Linked DNA regions of Lonchura striata. The protein of the gene in region 1 binds, or shares a complex with, the protein of each later gene. Links are inferred from orthologs where the notes say so. Each region holds a gene or a part of one and is shown on either strand. Other genes may lie near its edges.

What was found.
Region 2: CDK2AP1 (region 1) and MTA3 share a complex: the UniProt entries of both Homo sapiens proteins name them as parts of the nucleosome remodeling and deacetylase (NuRD) repressor complex. The link is inferred for Lonchura striata from reciprocal best matches to the Homo sapiens genes CDK2AP1 and MTA3.

What each region holds. Positions count from the first base shown.
Region 1 is NC_134620.1:13,007,619-13,020,164, reverse strand, and holds the start of CDK2AP1 (cyclin-dependent kinase 2-associated protein 1), read left to right. Parts: upstream 1-7,580; 5' UTR 7,581-7,678; coding exon 7,679-7,886; intron 7,887-10,164; exon of another isoform or gene 10,165-10,207; coding exon of another isoform or gene 10,208-10,286; intron 10,287-12,546. UniProt on the Homo sapiens protein: Inhibitor of cyclin-dependent kinase CDK2. Also acts as a component of the histone deacetylase NuRD complex which participates in the remodeling of chromatin.
Region 2 is NC_134605.1:14,007,401-14,019,750, forward strand, and holds the start of MTA3 (metastasis-associated protein MTA3), read left to right. Parts: upstream 1-7,879; 5' UTR 7,880-7,976; coding exon 7,977-8,004; intron 8,005-10,086; coding exon 10,087-10,154; intron 10,155-11,986; coding exon 11,987-12,080; intron 12,081-12,350. UniProt on the Homo sapiens protein: Acts as a component of the histone deacetylase NuRD complex which participates in the remodeling of chromatin.

The DNA.
Region 1 (12,546 bases):
GAGGTTTTGGTTGGCTCCTTTCCAGCATGTAAATAATACACCTTAAAAATGCCAGCGAGGCAGCTCGGGAGCTGACAGCCTCTTCCTTTGGAAGTCCAGATCTGGCCTGTGTGTGTTCCTTCCACGTTTATGAAGTGGAAGAACTGACTTTGCCTGCTAAATGCACAGTGAATTGCAGGGCATGAAGCAGAGCTCTGTACTCAGAGCGAGTTCAATCCTAAACCAGGGTGCGAGTGACTGAATCCCTCCTGGGTAAGGTCTCCCCTCACGTTCCTTGCAGGGAATACAAACATGGAGCAATGGAATGGTGACGATCTGAGCCTGCACAGTTCCCAGTGTCACCTCTCCGTGTGGAATCCTGGCCTTTGGGACGGGGCAGAGCTGCTCTGTGCAGGCAGCCCTTGGGATCGGGACCTTCCTGGCGACAGCTCCTGCCTGCTTTAGGGAGTGCCCCCCAGTTGTGCTGCCCCAGCTCAGGCTGAGCCCACGCATCCCCCTGGCCCTCTGCCGGAGCACAGCCCTGCCTTCGTCCCCTCTCTTTGGCAGGAGAAAAGCCCACGGGCTCCTGGAGAGGGGAGGCTCCTGCCGAGGATGCCAGGGCCTGGCCTGGCCCCCGCAGCCGCTCTGGGGCCTCGGGCTCTGCCCTGGCCTCGTGGCTCGGCCGCGGTGTTTGATCGCTGGCGGGGCTCGGCCTGGCACTGCGCTGTTCAAATTCCCGACCGAGCCAGCAGCAGCGCCTGCCAGGGCTGTAAATCCTTCACATCCGGGATTGTCGCTGCCTTTCTGCGCTCACGGAGCACGGGGGCACAGCGAGGCGGCTGCCAGGCTGCAGAACCTGCCGGGGCAGCTGCGTGGGGAGCACCCTCAGCGTGTCCCCTCCAAAAGGTCTGGGGAGCACCCCATGGCCTCCCCTTTTTGCTTTTGTCGGGGGAAGAATGGGTTTTGAGGCAGTGTGCCAGGGCAGGAGGCTGCTGTCACTCTTCAGGTAGATGTTCAGGCAGAGTTTGATCTTTTGGCTCACTGAAAATACTTTGGTTTTAGCATCATCCTGTCCCATTGCCTCCACTGGGAGAGGGGATTTGCACCGCAAGACTCTGCACCCATATTCCCACGGAGCTGGGCACAGAGGCTTCACACCACGGACACCAGCTTGGCAAGAGATGTCAGGGCTCTCCCTTCTGCTCTGAGCAGTGTCCTGGGGCAGGAGCTCAGCAGACGTGTTAGACTCATCCTGGCAAAAGCTGTGTCTGGGCTGTGGGCTGGTGAGGGAAGGAAGTGCTGTGCCCAGCAGCGCCAGCCGAGGGCTGTGTGACACCGGCAGAGACACTCGGACTGTGCTCTCCTGTCACCGTGATTTACCTCCTGCTTTTCCTCCTTCCCCCTTCACCCTGCTCTTCTCTCCCCCGCCAACTCTGAGTTGTTGTGAAGCTCCACATTCCTTTCCTCACAGTCATTTCCATTTTCCAGCCCTGGGCTTTGCTTTCACTCTCTCCTCCACTTCCTTTGCTCAAATGACCAGTAACAAAGCAATTAGGGATGCTCCCGTCAGGCTGCACAGTTGGTGCTACGAGGAGGCTCCGAGGGACAGAGGTGTTTGTGCTTCTGATTGTTTCAGACATTTGACACTGGTCAGGTGATGCTTGCTTTGCACTCAGGAGGTTTTCTGTGGGGCTTAACCCCAGTGTGTCTCTTCAAACTGTGATTTGAACCTGCAGCTCTCCCAGGTGCCACGTGGATGATTATTTCACATGGACAGGGGTGTGTGACACCAGCCTGCCTCCAGGAAGCACTCCAGGCGAGCCAACACTCAGCTTTGCTGCTGTGGATTCCGGCGCTGCCAGACGCAGAGCAGGTTCAGGAGCTTTCCCAGACAGGGCTGGGATGAAAGCAAGTCTCAGAACCTCCTCTGCCCCAGCCAAAGGGTGGGGTATTCCCTGCCCCGGGCCCACAGCAGCGCGGGGAGGGAGGCAGAGGAGGGCCGTGCCGCAGCCCGGCAGTGCCAGCTCACTCCTTGGCACAGCCTTCAAGGGCTCAGGAGTGGGAGGGAAGCAGGAGTCCAGCCCACAGGGCAAGAAGGGAGAGTCCTTCCAGGCAAACTGAAGGAATCGGGCAGGGTGGAGCACTCATTTGTCTGGAAAGATGATGCAGAGAAGCTCTCTAATGTGGGCATAAAGTGATATTCCATCCCTGCGAGCAACAGCAAGAAAGGAGGAGCCCCTTGGCCCAAGCCCCACCATCAGCCCAGCTGCCTGTGCCCTGTGCCCAGCAGGGCAGGGAGAGTCCTCTCCTCTCCTCTCTCCTCTCCTCTCCTCTCCTCTCCTCTCCTCTCCTCTCCTCTCCTCTCCTCTCCTCTCCTCTCCTCTCCTCTCCTCTCCTCTCCTCTCCTCTCCTCTCCTCTCCTCTCCTCTCCTCTCCTCTCCTCTCCTCTCCTCTCCTCTCCTCTCCTCTCCTCTCCTCTCCTCTCCTCTCCTCTCCTCTCCTCTCCTCTCCTCTCCTCTCCTCTCCTCTCCTCTCCTCTCCTCTCCTCTCCTCTCCTCTCCTCTCCTCTCCTCTCCTCTCCTCTCCTCTCCTCTCCTCTCCTCTCCTCTCCTCTCCTCTCCTCTCCTCTCCTCTCCTCTCCTCTCCTCTCCTCTCCTCTCCTCTCCTCTCCTCTCCTCTCCTCTCCTCTCCTCTCCTCTCCTCTCCTCTCCTCTCCTCTCCTCTCCTCTCCTCTCCTCTCCTCTCCCCGAGGGGGCTTTGTAATTTTTTTTGCCAGTACTTACCAAGCAAAACGAAGCGGTTTCATTTCTACTCTAATACTTCTTTGCTGGTTTTCATTGGAATCTGGGCTGGTTTTGATATTGGTGCCTGGTGCTTGTTTGCCTGGCAAACTGCAAAGAGGAAAACTTTCATTAGAGAGATTCCAGGCCTGTGCTTTTGTGGCTGCGGGCTTGGAAACTTCTCATTCCTCCTCCGTGGTCCTCCAGGGAGACCTCCAGCCAGAGCAGGAGCGAGCAGGCTCTCTACTCACGCTGTCTCAGAGGTAAACCCAGAGCACCACCAAGGCCTCTTTATCTTAAACATTCCCAGCCCCTTTGACAGCTTTGCAGGTGCTATTTGCCTTTTCTCTGCTGGGATGCCACACCTCGGAGGCCGAGCGTCCCCCTCGGAGATGGAACGGGCCTGGAGTGGGCTGCTCAGCCCATAGGGCAGCACCCGTGCGGCGATGCGGAGCAGCTGTCTGCCTGGCAGGGCTGCTCCGCTTGGCAGCCAGACAAAGGACTCAGGAGCAGGAGGAAAACAAGGCTGGGAGGGAAAGTCGCTCCAGATAATACGGCATCTGGCCCTGGGAGGAACCATCTCCAAGTGGGGAGCAGGGCTAGACTGGGAAGAAGTTTGTCAGGGAGGATTTAAGGGGGAAAGCCTGGCTGGAATAGGAATCCACCTGAAATTGGGTTTCCACCTGAAATTGTTGCAAGGATTTCCTGGGGCCTGGCTCTGGACACGGTACCACAGCCCTCCTTGTAGACAGTCTCAGAGGGCTCTTTCCCCTGGAGGGGAGCAATCCAGAGCTTCCAGGGGGATTTTGAGGTGTAAGAAGGCAACAGGGTGGAGCTGGGAACATGTATTTTTATTCAGGATTAGATTGGTTTTGTGCATTTTGGTGAGGATGGGGCAGCAGGCAGCAAATATCAGCCAGAAAAGGCAGATCACAGAGGAGGGACTCCGAGGGCTGACAGCTTTCTCTTGGGAACAAAAAAAGCACGAGGGAAACTTAGTAGCATCAGCAGGAAGCAGTTGTGGGGAACAGAGACAGGAATGGAAGGAGCTGTAGCAAAGCGATAAGAAAGGAACAGCACTGATGCCAAAAAAAGCATAAAATGCACAATTTTCCTTCTGTGCCAGGGTCCCAGACTGCCCCAGGGGCTTGCTGGGTGTCCTGGGGAAGGAAGGGTTCTGCACCAGGAGCTGCTGGCTCATTACAATCCCAGTGAGAAAGGTACTCAGCTCTGCAAAGCATCTTTGAAAATGCTGTTTGTTAAAGCTGACACTCACATGCCTCTATCACGCTTTCCACAGAGGTTAAACCTTGCCTTCACTCAAGACTTAAAAAGCTTAATTTTCAGTCTAGGCCTACCAGAGGCTTTTCATTTTGTGTAGCACCTGATCGGTTTGGAGACTCAAAGATTAAACTGGTGCTCATCAACTTGAAGCTGCATCTGTGGTTATTTTATGTACGAGGCTGGATCACCAGAAATGTGAGGATAAGCATTTGAATATAAACTCCCTCTAGGAAAAGGAACAAACTTCCCACTTCTTTCCCCTTGGTGCTACATGGGGCTCTGTGGTGGGTAAAGGACAGTTAGAATATCCCCAAGTCACTCAATTAATTAAGCCTGATAACAATTAATTACATTAAAATTAATGCGCAAATTTAATGTTTTACACATGTCAAAGACATGCCAGGAAAAAAAGAGGGTCTTACTGTGCCATCTTTAATTCTTTTCATTGTTGGTTTAACCCAAGGTGATAAGGAACAAGCCTAGTTTGTGCTCCTCATTTGCAGGTCCCCATGAGTGTTACAGCACGGCTCTGTGATGACTATTTCGTTTTGTTTCCAGATAAAAGGGGACAAACAAGTTTGTTTCACAGCATGGCCCACGGCCCTGTGGCAGAGCTGCCAGCACCTTCCAACATCCCACTTTGCATGTGTATTCCTTACACCCTCGCCCAGGGCCATGGCACCGACCCACAGAGCTTTGGAAAGGGAAAACCTCCTTCAAATCAGTCACAGCGCTGCCTAAGCAGGGGCTGGAGGCAAACTCTGTGGAAATATTGGCTGCTCAGTATTCCCAGTGGTTTGGGAGGAGCAGAGGTGAGGAAGTCAAACCAGGAGAGGGAAAAGAGAAAATAAAATACCAAGAGAAGAAAGGGGAGGGGAACAGAGTGAATGTTGCAGATATTGCACAACTCAGAAGAGGCAGCTGTACCTGGAAAATACATCATCAGTGCTTCTTGTAGTGGCTGAAGAGACAGGCACACATTCCTGTCCATCCTCTCTTGTGGGAAAACAGCAGTTCACACGTTTATTTTTAAGTTGCATTTTAGCGTGCAGCAGGCTTGCAAATGTCACCTGTGTGATAAAATGGCTCTGCTGTGTTTCCTGCTCTGTGACTTGGCCACTTGGTGATGAAGAGCTGCTTTTGCTGTCAGCGAACACCACCGAGCCATCAGGCTGCAGAGCAGGGACCTGCAGCTTGCTGCACACAGCCTGGGAGCTGGAGCTGCCACACTCGAGGCACAGTTTGCATGTGCAGAGCACAACTCCAGCGGTGCAGCCCAGCTTGGGCCATCAAACAAGGTGAAACCGCCCCTCCAAGGGAGCTCGACTCTGTGGTCACCCTGCTGAGCAGCCAGCCCAGGGCCCGAGCACGACAGTGGTTTTGTTCTTGTGGCCACACCTGGTTCAGAACAACTGCAGTGAGCCCTCAGAGCACACGGCAGATGGGAAGAACTTGCAGGTACTTCCTACCCTGCAGTGAGTGCCAAAAAAATAGAGTAAATTAATCTTAAATAGAGTCTGAGGCCGAGCAGTAAGTTTGTCCTTTATCAGGGTCTTGTGTCTTGTGCCACCACTGCTACCTGTGCCCAGAAAACTGCAGAGCAAACATCAGATACCCAGATCTGACACTGCTGGGCTCCTGCTTACAGGACAAATGATGCTGCCCTGCATGCCTGAGCATCTCAGCAAGCCTGGCCCTCACACCTTGCTCCAAAGATCACAGTGCCTTGTGCTGAAGGAAGAATAATCTTTACAGGACTTTTTCCACATCACCCTGCCTCCCCCTTGGAATATTGTAAATTTTGGAGCTGTCTTTATAAAACGCAAGCAAAACACAGGGGATCTTGTTCTTCACAGTGTTGCTCTGAGCACAGTTTTGTAGAGTTGGTGTAAAGCCGTGAAAAACACGGCAAGCTCGGAGTGTTCCCATTTCTCACTCACTTGGTGTGACTGTAAACAACCACATGATGGAAAATCCCGGAGCGGTGTGCAGGACTTTGCTGGCCTTCCAGGATTCAACAGAAAGGCTGTTATTTACAAATCTGGAAGTGAAGCTTTAGGTTTGCAGAGTTCTCACTCACACGGTGAGGGTTTACCAGTGCAGTCTTTCAGGGCTCTAAGAAGAATTACACAGTTGTAATCACAAGCACCAATGTGAAACTACTGTCACTGAGCGTGTAATTCTGTGCCTGGGGCTCTCAGGACCCCTCTCTAATAGACCAGAGCATGGATCAGTTGTAAGGACAGTCAGTGCCAGTCTGGAATTCGCCAGGATCGCTGGAGTCAAGCATTTGGTCTGGAAATAAAATACAAAGGTATTTCATCTGGTACCAGTCAGAATTTTCAGATGTTTCTCTCATGCAGTGCACAGTCAGCAGGGCATGAGCCAGGGGCTCAAAGGCTGCTCCTCTTTTCCCATTCTCCCTCGATTCTCCTTTATGCAGAGGAAATAATCTGATTGCTCTGTGACTGTTTCCGTGTCTCTGTGACGGAGGTGTTACCTGCTTCCCTCTGCAGGGCCGTCCACTCTGGGCCTGAGTCAGTGTCACTGACGAGGAATGTGCCCCTGATTTCCAAAAGGCATGATCAGGCTCTCCGTGTCTGCTGTCACTGGCATTTAGAGCAGTATGAAGCCATGGATAGACATTAAGTAGCACATGAGGCAGCGCATGCAATAAAACTATCAGATCTCAGAGTGGCTGCTGGTAAAATATACATGGGGGTCTGATATGGGGGGGTCTCAGGCTGAGCTGTGCACCTAAGGAGAGAGAATGTCCAGATCCCAAGTAGTTTTGTTTGGATAAACCTGGAGTAACTGAACAATTTTCGAGTGTATTTGATATTAATTGACTGAAGGAGCAAACCTGAATATCTTGCAGTGAAAAGGATGAGTTCTGATGGCAGACGCATGCTGGAAAGCTTCGTCATTTAACCTGATTCTTTTAAAAATTTTGGTGGGGAAGTTTTACTGCTGCTAGCAAGCAGAAAATGTGCCGATTGTCAACGAGATCCATGTTCTTTTAGTCCCTCAGAAGCTGCAATCCACATTAACCTTCCACCTTCAAGCAGAAAGAACTAGTGGTTTGGAAAAAAAAAAAAAAAAAAAGAAATAATAAAAAGGGCAGGTTTTTTCTCGGCGGCATCTAGGGGGGTGGGTGAGAGAGAGAGAAAAAAAATTATTTAAAAATTATCAACAGGTATTTTCGAGGTTGGCGGGGGGATGAGCGCGGGGTGAACGCCCGCCCTGAGGTGAGGGGGAGGCGGGAAGGCGGCGGCGCGCGGGCCGCCCTGAGGGACGCCCGGGGCTGACAGCGGCCGCCGCCCGCCGCGGGCACAGCGCGGCCAAACCCGCAACTTGTGCCAAAACTTTCCGAAGTTAATTAAAACATCCCCCCCCCGCCGCCCCGCGCCGCCGCCGGGCTCCGCGCCGCCGCCGCCGCCCGCCCCGCTCCCTGCCGGCGGTCCCTGAGGGGAGCTCCATTGTCTGTGAGGGGATGGCCGCGCACCCCCGCCGCGCCCCCGCCCGCCGCGCCCCCGCCCTCCGCGCCGCCGTGCGCGGGGCGCCGGGCGGCCGCGGCGGGTGGCTGCCGGCTCTCCCCCAAAGTTTTTGGATCCGCGTCTCCTCATGATGTATGGATGATATATTGCATTGTGGGTGTCAATATAACTGACGGCCATATTTGCCGGTGCTGCTACTGCTGTAAACAACCCAAAGTGTCTGGGAGACACGGAGACGCTTCGCTGAATTTCAGGACGCTTCTCCTCCTCCCGCTGGCCATGTCTCTGGGAATGTCTTACAAGCCCAACTTGAACGCCCACATCCCCGGGACTCCCCTCAACCCGGGTAAGTGCGCGGCGGCAACTGGGTGGCAAGTTTGGGAGGCGAGCGGCGGGTGCCGCACCGGCACCTGGGGGAAGCCCCGGACTCGAGTTTGTGCCCAGTCCGGTATGGCGGGGCAGCGGCTCCGCGCCGCCATTACCGCGCCCGCCCGCCCGCCGGCCGGCGCCGCCAGCCCCGCTCCGCGCCGCCCCCGCGCCGGGCTCCGCGCCCGCCCGGCCCCGCGCAGCGCCGCCGCCGCTCCGGGGCTCCGGCCGCCGGGTTTCCTCCATGCTCGGCTCCCCGGGGCGGCTGATTGATCTGGATCAGGAATATTCCGGCGGCGCCTCAGCGAGGACCGCTGCTGGCGGGACGCCGCAAGTGCGGCCGCTCGCCCCGCGCCTCGCCTCGCGCCTCCTCCGGCGGCGGGGCCGCCCCGGGCCGCGCTCCGCGGGCCGCGGGGAGCCGCGGAGCCCCGACCTCCGCCGGCGCCTCGGGGCGACCCTCGGTCAGCGCTGCCCCGTCGGAGCCTCCCCCGCATCCCGAGCGGAAGAGCCCTCTCCGCTCGCTGGAGACTTTTGGGGATGGGGGGGCACACAGGGATTGCACTATTTCTTAAAAAACTCCTGTTTAAAAATCGCTCCTCATCCTTGGATTTGTACAGGAGTCCTGCCAACTTTCCTCTTTAAAAAGTTTCCTTGACAGCGTTAACTTTTTGCCTTTTTTCTTTTTTCTTCCTTTTTAAACTACGTTGCCCCGTTTTTCTCCTCCCGATTTCCGAAGGCATCAGCCGGCGGGTTTTTGCCGGTGCTGTGGTGCTGCTGTGCATCGGGTCTCCGTGTGCGAATCGGTGCAGCCTGAACAAAGCCGCAGCAGCAATTGCTTCGCTGTGGGATATTTGGAGGGGATCTCGCTAATCTGTGCTCGTCGGCTCCGATTAAACCGCACCAAAATGGAGAAGTTGGTTCTGACTTTAAAAATTCGTATTCGTCTCCCATGCCCGCAGCCCAGCCTGCAGGACTGGCATCAATCAGACAGCCACAAATCAGACTGATTTTTTTTTTTTTTTTTTTCCCTGAGAAAAAGTTTTGGAGTTAGGTTTAGGAGGGAGGGAAATGTGTCTGTGTGATTTTTACGGCACCGTTAGCGGTTGTGATCCTGGGAAGCTGAGGAGCGAAAGGGATCTCCGGGATGCATCTCTGTTCTAGCTACCAGGAGAGCAGCAATCGTATTTTACTGCAAGGACTCGTCACCAGCTGGTGGATGAGCCGATGTGGCTGTGCCACCTCGATCCTGCATGGAGCTGAGCTCGGTGGGGCTGCGAGGGTGCAAAGCTCGGGGAGCCGGGGTCGTGTGTGGGGAGCACCGTGGGGCTCGAGTGCTGCTCTGCGGAAGGGTCAGGGAGCAGGGGATGTGCCGAGGATTTCTGACAAAAAGCAGAAGTGTCACCGGAGGGGGGAAAAAAAATTAAAAAAAAGAAACAAAGCAAAGCCCAGCAAGGGAAACCGTTCTCCTGCCGGCTCCCACGAGAACCTGTGCCTTGCTCTCCGGAACAGCCGTAAAATTGCAGGGAAAACAAAGGTGGTATTTTGCGATGGTGGGTGAGGGGTGGGGATTAGGTCATGCAGTGGAGGGGATCCGAGTCTGGCTGCTCTGCGAGCAGGGACTGCAGAATCCCGGCTCAGACATGCCGCGCACAATGCGAGCCGAGCGGTGAAGTTTCTGTCTCCAGCCCTCTCGCTGCCGTGTCTGCGCTTTCCACCGCTCCGGCTTTGGATTCTTTCATGCAGTTTTATCTTCCCCTTCTCTCCCACCCTCCTTTTCCCCTTGTATCGGCAAGTTAGCAGCAGTTTGCTGTCATGCTGGAACTATTCTTGTCTAAGTTGTCCTCTCTTCTGAGTTCGGATCATCCTCAACACCCCCAGAATCTTTTCAATGAAAGAACGTCCTCCTCTGAATCCAAAATGGGCTCTCTCTTCCCTCCCTGTCTTCTGCCATTATCCTCACGCACCAGCTCTTCCTCTAGCTAGTGGTATTGCCAGCACCGTGGCCTAAGGCCAAGGGACTTAGACAAAGCAGTCCTTGCAGTTGCACATATCGCATTCAGAGTGATATGACTGCAAATGGCCCCCTCCTTTCTGGAGCTTAATTCTGATTTGGAGGAGATTGCCTCTCTATTGTGCCTAAATTAAATGCCCCCCAGCCAGGAGGATAAATCCTAGGTTTGCTTCCAAAATTGGGGTGGAGGACCCCCATCCCCTACCTCCCCCCCACAGCCCTGCAGAGGAGAGGAAAACAGGAAATCTGTCCCTTTTGGCCTGAAATCAGCCCTGCAGAAACCTCTCTATATGAATGCTGAATTTTTTGGGCTTGGCCGACGGAGGGCTCTGGGCAGCTGTGGATCTCACAGGGATTTTCCTCTGGGAGGTAATGCTGCTTCCCTGCAGTGCAGGGCTTCTGGTGGAGTATTTGGGAAGGCAGTGTCGACTCAGCTCTTGGAGCCGTGTCCTTGCTGCAGAGCAAACTCCTCTCAAGTTGAGGCTGAGAGTAGCCACTCTGCAAAATGATACTTAAACTGCACATCAGTGAGATGAAGCAGTTGTGGTTGGTGGGTGCCTGGGCTCTGTTCTTGCATGGGAGCATGTTTTGGGAATCCAATCCTGGACTGAAGTCCAGAGGGAGAGGAGCTGGATGTGGGGGAGGAAATACAGGGAGGAAACCTCCGTGGGTTGTCGGCAGATCTGGGGATGACTGTGGGTGAGGAAAATGCAGCTGCTCCACAAGTGACTCAGGATGCTGGAAGCATCTGGGTGCTGACTCCTCTGCCTTACACCAGGCTGAGGGAAGGAGAATGTGTTGTCACAGCAGAATTCAGTGCCTGTTCCTCTTCCCCGTTGCCCAGGTCAGTGCTGACACTTGGCCCAGGGTGGCTGCAATCGGGTTTGCAGTGTTTTGTCCAAATTTTGTCCGAAGTCACCTTCCTGGAGTGTCTGTGCTCAGGGAATTGGGTTCCTGCATGTAGTACCCCAAGCTTTCAATTCCAAGCTGCCTGTGCATGAGGAGCCCCATTTAATCTCCTGCACAAGCACCTTCACTGCCTGGGCTGTAAATGAGCTTTATTAGAGACCTGCAGTGGCTCTACCTTCCCAGCCTCACCTGACCCTGCAGGGTCCCAGGGGAACCTCTGTTACCTTTTCTAACAACCATGTTTTGATTTGTTTGTCTTCTTTTGCTTATCCTACTGATTCCTGGGAAGTGCTGTTTCCTCCTCATCTGTCTTGTGTTTCATCTTGTTTGACTATGTAAGGGACCAGCTGCTGAGCTGAGGTGAAGTAGAGCATCTCCATTGACTTAAGCTGAACTTGACACTTACACCAGCTGTGAATGGGTCTGTAGTTTGTTTTTCACCATATTTCCATGTGTTTTTTGGCTCAGTGGATATTCACCAGCATTCCTATTTTGTTTAGACTAAGCACAGGTCAGAGAAAATGCGTGTCAAGATACAGAAGCTAGCAGAAATAGCTTGGGATTTTCCTTTACTTTCATTCTCATTCTTGCAGAAATGTCACATTTTGAGACAAAGTCTTGTTCATGTAACAAAGCTTAAAAACTGTTGTCTGTAGGGTCTGGAAACACCAATTCCAGCTGACAGTGACAAGGGAAGGAGCTGTGTCTTGGCTCCATGTGAACAAGTGGCGGCCTGTACAAGTGCTGCTGTAGCTGAGGACCAAAGGGGCTCTCAGTGCACCTGCCACACCTCGCAGCAACCACAAGTTTCTTGTGAAAAGTGCAAATTCTCACTGGGAGGTGAAATGAAAACCATTTCCCTGTCTGGGGCCGTAGCTGGCAGCTGGAGAGACCAGTTCCACTGAGCCCTGAGAAACGATACCAGCACACGAGGCTGGCCCTTATGTTCTCAGCACTGCAGTGCAGACTTGCTCGAGCACATGGCTTGCTTGTCGCCCTTTACAGAGACAGCTTCTGTTTGATATTGTTGACCATATTGAGAGGTTGTTTTTGGAGTGGGAGTACTGAAAAGAATACTCTTTGTAGGCAGAACAGAGAGCAAAGTGTTTGTGCCTTAGCAGGGGGGATAATTTCTAGGAAATATGCTCCCCTCTCCAATTCAGACTGAAATTTGTGTGATCCCTGATCTCTCGAAGTCCATGTGACGTTAAGTATGATGCAAAGAGAAGCTCTCTAAACATGTTTCAGAATTAGTAATTTTCAAGTGGACTTGTTTGGGCATTCAGAAAACGGGCATTTTTGGCTTTGCCTTCCTGAGTGTTTTGCTTGAGAGCAGTTTTCACAGCGTGGTTTTCACAGTCAGCCAATCTTCATGGTCCCCACCCAGCACCTTGGTTTTGCTGCAGAGTGGTTTGGGTTCATTCTAACTGGATTCCTGTTGGATAAAAGTAGCCCAAAAGCTCTTCTCCAGTTGTGCAACACAGATGCTCCATCCCTTGCAATGGGAACAAGGGATCCAAACCAAAGATGGCACAGCTCTGAACCATACCCCCCTAGCCTGGGGAACCAGACTAAAATCTAACCTTAAGTCATACTCCCTCAGGCCAACTACATGTGGTGTACACATACCAAATGCTTTAATCTCTTGATCTGTTCCTTGTGGTGCCAAATAACTTGCTGGTGTAGGAATAGCTTAAGCAAGAAAAGAAGAATGGTGGGG
Region 2 (12,350 bases), on another chromosome or scaffold:
TCACATACCCATATGTTTGTACTTCTATTTGGTTGCTGGGAGTTATTCTGGTGAAATTCAGGAACTGGTTTCAGTGAAAATAGTCCTGGATATCTTGCTGACTAATATTGGGGTGGGTTTTTTTGGTTGTAGTTTTTTTTGGATGTGGTGGGTTGGTTGGTTGGTTGGTTGGTTGGTTGGTTGGTTGGTTGGTTGGTTGGTTTTTTGAGGGTTCTGTGGTTTGGTTTTTGTTGTTCCTGCACATATTGATTAGTTTAACAACTTTTACAGATCCCTAAAGGAGAAGTAGCTGTAACAGTATAAAAAGGGGTTATTCCAGTACAGATAATCCTTTTGTTTAGAAGAAAAGAAAACCAAGCATACTGTATGCACGGGAGTCCATGATTTCTTCCTGCCATCACATGTCTCATTTCAGGAATTTTTGAGTTTTGTCCCAAAGCAGAACTTGCAGGATGGACCCTGAAATATTTTCAGAGTTGTATGGCAGAACTACTGGATGAAATAATCTAATTTTTTTAAAAAGGTCATACTCTAGAAGATGCTTCTTTAGTCACACTCATCTTGAAGAGCAGGAATTTGTGTTTTCCTCTAACAGTTCTCCCCATTGCTGATTTCTTATATCAGAGTGGTTGCTTGGATAGGTTTGAGGAAGACAGAGGAATGAAAACATTAACTTTTGGCTCTTTGTTAGTCTCAGCTGTGTGTTTTACCCTTGCATCCCAAAGGAATTTCATAAGGAAAAGAGAGCTGATGCACCCTGCTTTTTGTTCATATTGAAATATGAATGATACAACAAACTTGCTTGCAAGGATGTACAATATTCTTTTGTGTTCTAGAAAATATTTTAGAATATTAAAACTCAGGTACTTTCAGACTGTTAATCTTGGGTATCCAGATTTTACAGGTTTTCATTCCTAGCTGTAACTGCAAAAGGGCTTAGTGTCAGAGGTTATAAAACAGTGAAAGTCTCATCTGATAAATCGGTGTAAGGACTGTAGAGTCAAAAATCTTCAGTCTGCCAGAGAGAAGGTAAAACTTGTCAGACTGGGCATGCAAATGACAGAACTTCAGATAGTAGAATTGGCATTAGCCTTTCTGACAAAAAAATATATTTCAATTGCAATGGTGGGGGGATTTCTACTGAATGTGGATATTTCAGAAGCAGAGATAATACGTTCAGATTTGATTTTGAGTTTGTTTTTTTTGGTTTTGGGGTTTGTTTGTTTGTTTGTGCCTGTTTGGCACAAGCAATCAAATTTGGCTGCAATAGCCATTATTAAAGAACTTACTTGCAGTACCTATCAGTTAGGGTTATTGCTATTGGAAGTATGTAAAATCTCCTCCTTTTGTATTGGGGGAATACTCAGAGTATTCTGAGTGCACAAGTGTGTACTCAGCCCATTGTGTACTGTGAGCAAGGGGGGTCTCAAGCTGTTTGTTTCTTCTTGCCAAGCAAAACATAGCTGATTTAAAACAAACAAAATAATTCCAAATGACAATAAAAACCATGCCAGTTTTGCAACTAGGTATCCTCTAGTTCTTGCAGGATTTCTTGTGTTAGCACCTATTGCCTGGTATACTAAGTCTATCCATCTAGACGTATGTTCCTTGTTCTTTCCACTCATCCTGAGAAGGTACTTCATAGCTTGAGACAGGTATTTGAGACAATTGATTGTTTCTGTCAAAGAGAGACAATCAAAAAGTCTTTTAGGTAAAAGACTTAAATACAGCACCAATACTTTGTGAAATACCAGCAGCATTGCTGTGTTGCTGAATGCTGCTGCTCTTTGTCACCACTCCCCAGAGTGGTTTTTGGAAGTAAATCATCTAGTCAGACACCTGCTCATCACATAGGTTCATCACAAGCTGACCTCCTCTGTCACACCACCTGTTGTAAGAAATAAAGGTCACTGGCACACAAAGTTAAATTCACTGTGTGTAAGCAGGCATGATGCCCTTGATTTAAGAGGAAGGAAGGTGTGTGCATTACAGCACTGATAAATGTGTCCCTAAGAGTCATCCAGCCTGAATTCAGAAGTGAAGTTCCTCCTACCAACAGAACAATGAGTGATGGTTTTCTCACTGCGCTGAGCTGGAGACCTGCATAAGGATGACACCATTGAGGCAGGACAGTGTGAAATCACTACAGAAGGCGAGAGAATAGAACTCTGATGTATTTAAAATATATCTCTTTTATAAAGAGTATCGTCTAGACCCACTCTATTGGTCCTAGAGTAGATCCATTGGTGTGCAGTGAATGACTCACAGTGGCAGAACTTATCTATAAACAAAGTGAACAACAAAAGAGATAAAGAATTATTTATATTCTTTCCCAACTGTTTCCCAGGCTTCTGCCTGGTTAGAAACCTTCATATCTCTCTGACTGAACTGAGAATGTCTGCATAAGGAAATTGTTCTGGTTTTCAAAGCTAGAGGTAGAACTGATAACTGGAAATTTCAGGTCAAATGCATCTGTAATGGATACACCAGGCAGTCTTTAGAGACACAGGAAGGCACTGAGGGTACATTTCAATAAGTTGCACTTCGGTGTTGCTTGCCTGAGATCATTCAAGCTCCAGAAAAACTGAACTGAACAGATGTGGAGTCCTTGACTTAAATTAATTCTGCTCAGATGAATGTACTGCACTGTACTTAAATAGGTGTCATTAAGCACCTTTCACAGCTTTTTAGCAGGTGTTAAGCACAAAAAATAGATCAGTTGAAAGAAAGGGAGAGATAAAGAGTAAATTTGCTGTAGAGTGTTTAGTATCTATCCAAAGCCCAAAATGGCTTCACTTTAGAGTGCTGCAGATGTGTGCAGTGTGCTTCCAACTGCTCTCATTTGCAGTCTTGCTTTTGTCAAAGAGAAAAAAGCTATGTAATGGTATTGCTTTAGCTCCACTGGAGTCAACCACAAAATTTGCATGGACTTGAACAAAAACTAGACATAAACCTAAGGGTCGTCTAAAACTGGCAAACAGAATGGGGTAAAAAACTGAATCCTAGAGTTGCAGGCTTTTTCTCCATTAAGATGGGGACTGGAAAGTAAATTGTTAGGTCTAACAAAAGCTCTAGATTGGTAAATCTTTTTTTTTTTTTTTTTTTTTCTAATCCGATTAGAAATAGAAGATATTTACTTTGTTATTGATTTTATTATTAAAAAATGGAGAGTTATGCCTCTGGAGTGGAAGAAATACATCTAGCCTTTAATAGAAGATTAATGATAACCCCTACTTTACCATCCCTTCCTCAAAGCTAAAGCAATTTTTCCATTGCAAGGGACTGGTTTTCATTAAAGCAAATTCAGTAAAAACAAGAAGACAGGTACATATGGGTCTGGATCTGACTTATTTTGCACCAAAAAAAAAAAAAAACCCCAAAAAAAAAAAAAAAGACTAAACCTTGATTTAATTGTATGATTTATGGGAAATGAAATTATGTGTAGTGTCAAAGAAATGCCATTTGGTAGGCTATTGCACCAATCTATACACTATGATACTTATTGAAAAACAATTACCTGAGACCTGTTTTTAACTCCCCTCTCAATAAATAACTTGTTGCTCACCATAAGCACCATTTTTATCTGCACATTGATTTAGCAGAATTCTTACGACTTTAGGATTTGGATTCAACATCTAAATCTGCAGAGTACTAGTAATTCAGCAATTAGCTTTAAGCTATTGTTTAAATCATATTTAATGAAAATAGTGACAAATTTAACTAAGAGTCTCTTAAGAGATCTGACTCAGACTCAATAAAAAAGCCAACATTATTTCTGACACCAAGAGCAGATGATTTTTTTCTTGTGAGAGATTTGGGGTGTTATATAGAAGTTGGTGTGAAAGCATCTCTTACAGATTGCACCTAGTTTCTGCTTTGTAGAGGCAGCTAAAAGTTTCTATTGCTTGTGATAACAAACACTGAATTTTGTATTTCTGTAAACAAAAAAACCCACAACCCCACCTTATATAATGATTGTTACAAAATGGTAGTTATATAAGGGTTTTTTATATAAATATAATAATGAGTATTGATATGGAAAAAATACTTTTGTTTTGTGACTAATTAAGTAACAGCAATATAAATTCTGTCTCTGCTACAAATTCATTAATGAGGTTTCGCAAGCTATGGTGTGTATTTGTGTTGATAAAAAAAAAAAGCACCTGTATACTGTTAGTTGCCTGTAAGTCAGTCTGATCAATGTGTGACTGTGTTAGCTGGCTTGTTTGTTCACATGAGAGCAAAGTGACTTTGTACAGGCTACATTTTATTTTTGAGCTACAGCACAAGTCCATAAACTACCCAAGTCCTCAGTGGTGGTGATTTACTCTCAGTGTAGCAGTTTAAGATGATAAGAAATTGTTATTGGTGAAGTCCCTTGTAATTTGTTTAACTCTTTGCATGGATTATGTGTATGCAGACAGTTCATTTGTTGTAAAGTTTTACTAGCAAGGGAGCTGCTTTTCCTTGGTGTAAACTCATATACTTGAACAGCTGAATGTTGCCCCTGCTTCAAAATTCCATGTGCAAATAAAACAAACCAACAAACCCTCTAGGATCCCATAGGTATGGGCCAAGGATGGGAAATGCCTTTTCCTTTATATTGCATGAACACAAGGGTGAGCATCTGTGAAAGGTCTACAGGAAGATGAACATTTTTTATAAAGGTTCAAGTAACTCCTTCTTCAGTGTTTTTATCAATTTCACTAAGATGTTCCTACCTGTAAGATCCTGAAGTATATCAATCTGAAATACACACCTCTATCAATATATTTTACTTTATTCCTCTTGACTTTCAGTATAATCATTATCAATCAAGTAATTGACAAAGATTTGTCTTCAGTTCTGGTATCTTTTGTGAGGAAGCTTATAGGTTGGACGTGTTTTGATGGCGAGGTTGGCGTTGTTTAGATTCAGGCTTTTTGTAATTAAGGAACTTCTGAAATTGGGAAACTTTGAAATTAAATTCTATGGACACAAAATAGGATGCTGCATGACAGCTGCAATGGAAGTTCTCTTATTCTATGACTTCACAAAATGATAAAATTGTCAGAACTTTTTAAAACTTTCGTCTTCACTCTGCAATAATGGAAAATGAGAAAATTCAATTTGAAAAATGAAAATTCAGGAATAAAATTGTCTGATAGTAGATTCCCATTACCTTTGTCTATATAATTCCACATGCAAGAAAGAAGCCTGAAATTGCCTATAAATAAAAGGTGAAACTTTTTGTACTATCTCTAATGGAAAAAAATTATTTCATAGTAGTGTTCTTTTAAATACATTAAGAAAATTGTATAGCTCCAGTTGACCTTATAGGCATGTAATAGACATGATTTAGGTGCATCTGATGAAGCTAAAGAGAAAAAGCCAAAAAAGAGGGTGCAGCCTGGATAAATCAATAGACACTCTGTGGGAGATACTGTGAAAGGTCCTTGGTCATCTCTTCTCTCAGTGTCTGATGTCCATCTCTTTCAGGACTGCTGATCTTGCTCACCATGGGGGCAGCTGGCCAGCCTGGACCATGGAACTAGTCTGTGTTTTAAAATGATCCTTTTAACACTCCATTCTTTCTTTTTTGGCTTTTCTTTGGAGGACCGTGAAGAGGAATGATGGACTGCTCACGGTGGCACAACAAAGAAAATTGTAAAATGAAGCTCTCAGGTAACCCATGTCTCTATCAGGAATAATCTCTCTTGTGTCTTGAATTAGGTTGCCACAGAAATGTGGTTTCTTTTGAACAGCACAAGTGATATCAGTCTATAGCTAAACATAGTTCATATACCAGGTTAAGACAAAGCTCTTATCTGTTTTTGGGGTTTTTTTCTTAACAGTTTTGTAGTTGAAACAAAAGTTTTCCATTCTATTTAATCTAGAAGAATGAAGGTGTTTACATAACTTTAATTTTTCCCATTCTGTACACTGAGAGAGCACTGAATATAAACTGTATCCAGGCTTTTGTGTATGTTACACCAAAGTAAAATGTACTGCCAGTCCTGCAACTCTGTATCCACTAGCTGGCTGTGCCCACTCCCAAAGCAGTGACCTTGAGCTATGGATGTACTGAGCACCTCGGGCTGTGCTGCTGCTGTGCGAGCCGTGTTACTGCGAACAAGAGGGCCCAGTGATTCAGTACTGAGGTATATAAATGTCATTATTTCTCTATTTATCTGGTCTGCGATGCAGCCTCAGTCTGGCAGCTGTAAGTAAGGGTGGTTTTCTAACTATTTTCAGGCTGTCCACCTGAAAGGACAGGCTGGGACCATGGGCTTCCCTGGGCTGCTCTCTCACCTTCTGTATCTCCAGGAGTTGCTTTTCTCTTCCACAGGCCATGCCTTCAGCTGATGGAAGCAATGGTCTGTGTCTGTCCAAATCTACTCCTTGCTGGATGAGGGGACATCGTAAACTTCCTAGTGAGGGCAGTCCCCCTAATGTCCAAGTGCAGACTTAAAATGAGGAAAAGAGCTTGGAGGCATTCTGTTTAATTGGAAATGTCTGTGCCAAACCAAATGTTCGAATTAACTTCTCTTGCCTAAAAAGTTTAACCTCTTTCATTTGCCCAAGCAGTAAAACAGGAGAGTAAAAGTAACACCTCAGGTCTCTGCTAAGGTCATGTTATTGTGCCTTTGGAAATACCCAGCTGGACAGAGTTGGTACTTCCCAAGGAGCTTCTGCTGACTTGTTTTCAGTTCCCACAGATGTTCAACAGAGGAAAATTCCCCATTTTTCCTTTCACTGCTTGAATGTGCTGCTGTTTTTAAAAGAAAAATAAATTACTGTATCATGTGCCTGTTACATGTGTTTCAGAAAGTTGCTTCTCAGTTGGCGTTTTGATACAAAGTTGTAGTCACTTGAGAAATTAAAAGTGTCCTGGAAGTAGACAAAACTTTATAGTCCCAGATTTGCTTAGAGGAGAAAAGAAAGACAGGATATAATCGTTTGAAACACCAAGGATGATCACCCTCCTTCTAATCAACGCATCTTCCTGCAGCTCAGGATGAAGTGAAATTTTAACTTGGTAACGCTCAAGCTGCACACATAAATATCCAGGACATAAAACCAATAATAAATCATCCCCTTCGTTGCAGGAAGATAATAACAAGCATTTATTTTCCAAGAAAGCATGCCACAGCAGGATCAATTTGTTTGTAAAGTGTATGGATTGTTGCTTATGGTGTAAACTTTGTATAAACAGGGGGAAATGGCTTCATGTTACATCAGTATTGATGTTTTTTAAGCATCTCTCTCATCGGATGATTTGTAAGCATCTCTTTCGACGCTTCCTGCCTCCGAGATGAGCTGCTAGATTTATCTTTATTCTGTCGTAGATGTTTTCTGCTGCCTGTTGCGAGCAAGCTGCATCCTGCGGACGGCGGAGAGCTCCGAGAGGCACCGTGCCCGCGGCGGGCTGGGGGCGCCGGAGCCGCCCGCGGGACCGCGCTACGGAGGCGAACAAAGGGGCCGCCAAACCCATCACCAACAGGTGCTGCGCAAGAAACAAACTTTTCCTGAGATACTACTCAGAGCTGCCAAAGGAGAGAGATCCCTCAGCCGCTCCGGGGAAGAGGCAAACACCAAAAAACCCCCAAGTTCCGAAAGGGTCGGAACAAAGCGGCGGGAGCCCGCAGAACGTGGCGTGCCTCGGGCAGGGCGGGGAGCGTGTCCGCGCACCCGCACCTCCCCCGGCGCCGCCCGGCCGGACCGCCCCACCCCACCTGCGGCCGGGCCCGGCCCGGACCCGCCCCGGGGCCGGTGCGCGGGGGGAGCGGCGGGGCGCCGGTTTAACCCCTTCCCCGCCGGCGGCTCCGGAAGCGGCGGCGGCCCCGTGGGGCGCTGTGTCCTGCGGCCGGGCGGCGAGGGGTGGCGGCGCGGCGCGGGGGGGGCGGCGGCGGGAGCCGCTCCCTCCTTGCCCAGCCCGGCCCGGCAGAGGCGGCAGGAGGAGGAGGAGGAGGAGGAGGGCGGCGCAGAGCGCAGACATGGCGGCCAACATGTACCGAGTGGGAGGTATGTGGGGACGCGGCAGCGCCCGCCCGGAGCCCCCCGCGCCCGCCCGGGGGTCCCGCCGGGCCGCGGGCCGTGCGCGCCGCGCCGGGGCGAAGAGCGGCGCCCCGGCCCCCGGCGGGCGCGGTCCCGAGCGGGGCGGCCGGGCCCGGGCGGGCGGCGAGAGGAGGCAGCCGGTCCGGCGAAGGGTCGCCGGGCCCTCCGCGGGGCGGAGGACGCAGGTTCCTCCCCCGCCAGCCCCGCGCGCCGGGTGGGAGCCCGGCCCCCGCCGCCGAGGAGGAGAAGGGCAGCGCCGCCCTCCGCGGGAAAGCGGGGAGCGGCGCCGCCGGCTGCCAGCCCCGCGCCGCGCCTCGGGCCGGGCACGGCCGCCCTTTGCGCCTCGCCTCCTCCCCGCAGAGCGGCGGAGGGGCCGAGCGCCGGGCCCCGCGGGGCGAGCAGGGGCCGCCCGCCCGGCCGTGCGCCCCCGGGCCGCGCCCGCCCCGCCGCGGCCTGGCGGGCCCTGGCGGCGCGGGGCGGTGCGGGGCGGCGCGGGGCGCTGCGCACGGACAGCCCGAGCCCACCCCGGGGCCGCTTCCCTCCGCGCCGCTTCCCTGCCCCCGCGCCCTCCCTCGCTCTCACGGCGGAGTTTCTCCGCGCCTTCCTTGGTCTGCTGGGGATAAATAATTAATCTGGCTGCGTAACCGGGGGATTTCTGTCAGCTTCCCTTGCTCGCCGCCGTGACCCCTGAGCAGCGCCCTGATTCGTGACTGCTTGGCGGTGGGGAGAGGGCGTTTAGGCGGTGAAAAACACGGCAAACGTTTGTCTTCCCACCCCGAGCCTGTCGAAAATGACACGGATAACTTTGGCTCGCTCACGGAGGGAACGAACGTGGCAGTGTGCCCAGTGCTGTGGCTCAGGTGCACTGCTCAAGTTAGGTATGTAGTACTGGGTGCTCAAAAATCGCTCCATCCTCTTGCTCTCTCAAAATCCAGAACCGAGAGGAAAGATGTGTGGAAATGAGAGGTGACAATAGTTTGAATGCTTTGAGATACACTGATGGAGCCACAAATCTTCCATCTGAATGCTGTCTCATTAGAGCACTTAGATTTACTCATGAAAGTAATCCTTCTCTGAGCAGGTAGCACAGAGGGTTTACCTCATGGGTCACCAATTATTATTTTTTTTTTTCGTTGTAGTCATAATAAACAATTGTGAGCACTATCCAGAGATCTTATTCTTTCATTAGAACTACCTGAAGTTCTTTTTCATTGTACCGTAGTGTCAAACTGTTGCAGAAGGCTTTTATACATTGTTATAGTTCCTCATCCGATTTTTAGAAACAAAGTGTGCAAGGGGCATGGTACAGAAGTCCAACATCAACTTTAAAGTGTGGTTGACATTTGGTGGGTAGTTCTTCATTGGACAAAAACAAGTTTTCAGAAAACTATGAAGGAAACACACTTGTCAATTCTTTGTATGTTACATGGGAGCAGCTTTCAGGATATGAGTAAATTTCCATTCACTTTATTAAGATATTTTTATATTAATGATGTTGAAAGAGACTTCCTACAAGATCCTTGCTAATTTCATGACAATTCCTGCTTAATATAGTTTGCATTTTAGTGGACAGAGATTACAAGAGCAAGTATCATAAAACATACATTACTCATTGGGACAACTGTACTGCCACAACACCTGATAATAAATGTGACGTGTCGTCTCTTACAGAAATGTAAATCTCGGTAATATGGAAAGTCACTAAAGTGCTCAGTTCTTAAATCTTCCCTAATTGATTGTGAGAAGTTGCTCCTTCCCTATCAAGATTAATGAGGTGTATGGATTACTAGATTACGGTGTAAATTTCAACACAAAGCCTTTAACTTTTTCCCAGCATGGTTGTTAAAGCAGGTGTAGTGCAGTTAAAACCAGAATTGAGGAACAAATTATATTAAATCTCAGTGTAGAAATACATCACGGTCCCAACATTTATGAAGAAATCTCAGCCCTTTCAAAACTTCTTGTTTTAGAAGAAAACTTTTGCACTAATAGTGATATGTCTTTACATAATTTTTGGTATTTCAGTGACTTTCCCTTTTTTCCTTTCAGATTATGTTTATTTTGAAAATTCTTCCAGCAATCCATATCTCATTAGGAGAATTGAAGAACTTAACAAGGTACAAATATCTAAGATTCTTTCTTAGCCTTTGGCAAAAGTCAGGGTTCTTGTTAAAACCTGAGAATTATTTCTATCCCATAAGATTTCTACTGTAGGAGGGATTTATGAGGGTTACTGAAAACTTGCTATGTGATATCCTCTTACTCGACCCTGTTACCTAAGGAAGCACCCAGTTGTTCATCCCTGGTGAACAGGATTACTCTGCTGCAAAAATTTTCTAACGAATTCTATGAATTCTTGGAGAAATGAATAAATTTCATTCTCTGGCTGACGATGACACTGTGAATCCATCTGGAATCTGACACTGTGAAGCCATCATGTAACGAGTCTGCTTTTAGATAGACATCTGAAGAGCTGGCAGGTACCAGCGAGACTTTGATCGAGTAACACAATGTGTGACTTCTGTGGCTTTATTGCTCTGCCTATTGGCAGCTGTGAATGAAGAATGGGCTTTTGAATAAAGTACAAACTGTGTCCTCTGTCTTTATCATGAGTGTATTTTCCTGAAAAATGGAGGCTCTGTTGACAGTCATTTTGGGGAAAGCATGATTATTTTTCTTCACTCTGACACTACTAAGAATAGTGTGGTGTTTCTATGGGTTTTAAAATTATTTTTAATATTTTTGTATTTTTTTTTTACTTTTCCCTCAAGCAGTATTAAAACTTACTGATGCACTACATCAAAAGTTAATTGTTAAAATGCTCATCATGATGTAAGTAATGATTAAGATATTTCTCCCCAGTGGTTAGAAAGTAAATTAAAAAATTGGTGACTTGCAAGTGGTTTTCTTCTTATTAATGAAACATAACAATATGCCATAGCAGACATCAACCACATTAGCTGTTAGTGCTGTCCAATGCAACATCCACTGAACTTGTGCATGGCAAATAATTTTTGACTTTTATTGGAGAAGAAAATTTTTTTATTCACAGTAATTGACATGATTCCAATCATATATTGAATGTAATGTTTATTATCTTTAAACTGCATTGCTATAATTTAATCTTGCTTATGCAGGGTAGAAGAGAGTCATGTATTCATTTTTTTTCCTTAAAGGGAGGCTGGAGGTTGTAGTCCACACATCTTGAATGTGAATGGTTTGCTTTCATATGTTAAAGGTATTGAGCAAATGTGAAGATATTATGTAAATATGTAATAAAATGCTTTGATTATTGTTCTAATAGGGACAATATTTTTTTTGTAAGAAGCTTAATCAAAACATTATACTTTTTAGTATTAAGTAAGTAACTCAAGGTAAAAAACTACTTTTGTACCCTTAAAGGAGAAGGATAAAGTTCTTCAAATATTAGTAAATTCTTTATAGAAGATTGTGGTCCTCATAATGAGTAATTAAAACAGTGAACTAAACTGCTCTTTTATTTTAGGAGCTGTTGTGACTTTCTCAAATAAATCTTTCAAAAGACTTTTTCAATAAATGTTATATTAAATGAGATTCTGAAAAAATGCCCGAGTACTTTGAAATATACATTTCTGTCCAAAGCAGGATTGTAAAGAAATGTTCACAAGATTCTAACATTTCTGAAGGATTCTTACTTTAGAATGCATTGCACCTCTGAAGACCTGAACAAAATATAAATTCTGAGGACTCAATAATTGTAGTTAATCCTCTTGTCTGCTCTGAAATTGGTACTGGCCTCTCTCAAGAAGATTTTATATTTGAGTATATTGAAGTAGTTCTGTTGATTTCAGCTTGACTAATCATGTGAGAAATACTGATATGAGGGAACACTCCAAGCAGAGAGTGTTTAATTTGTATTTCTCAGCTGAGGAGGGATACATCCTGACTTGATTTTCTCTTTCTTTTGTAGACTGCCAATGGGAACGTGGAAGCGAAAGTGGTGTGTTTTTACAGGCGAAGAGATATTTCTAACAGCCTTATAATGCTTGCAGATAAGCATGCTAGTAAGTAGATGGTGTAGGGCATTTTTCCTTACTAACACAGCCTGCTCAATTTCTGCAACTGCTTAAAATTGTGGGGTTTTCTGGCATGTGAAATATATATTTATGTTAGGCATTTATTAATATCTAGTTAGTTGCTTAGTATTATCTGATTCTCTCCTGCTCCTATTAGTTGCTTCTGAGAATTGAGTTACCTGTATCCATATGATTGAGACTGTGCATCTGGAAAAAAAAAAAGAATGTATCTTTTCATCTGGAAGATACAGATGCATT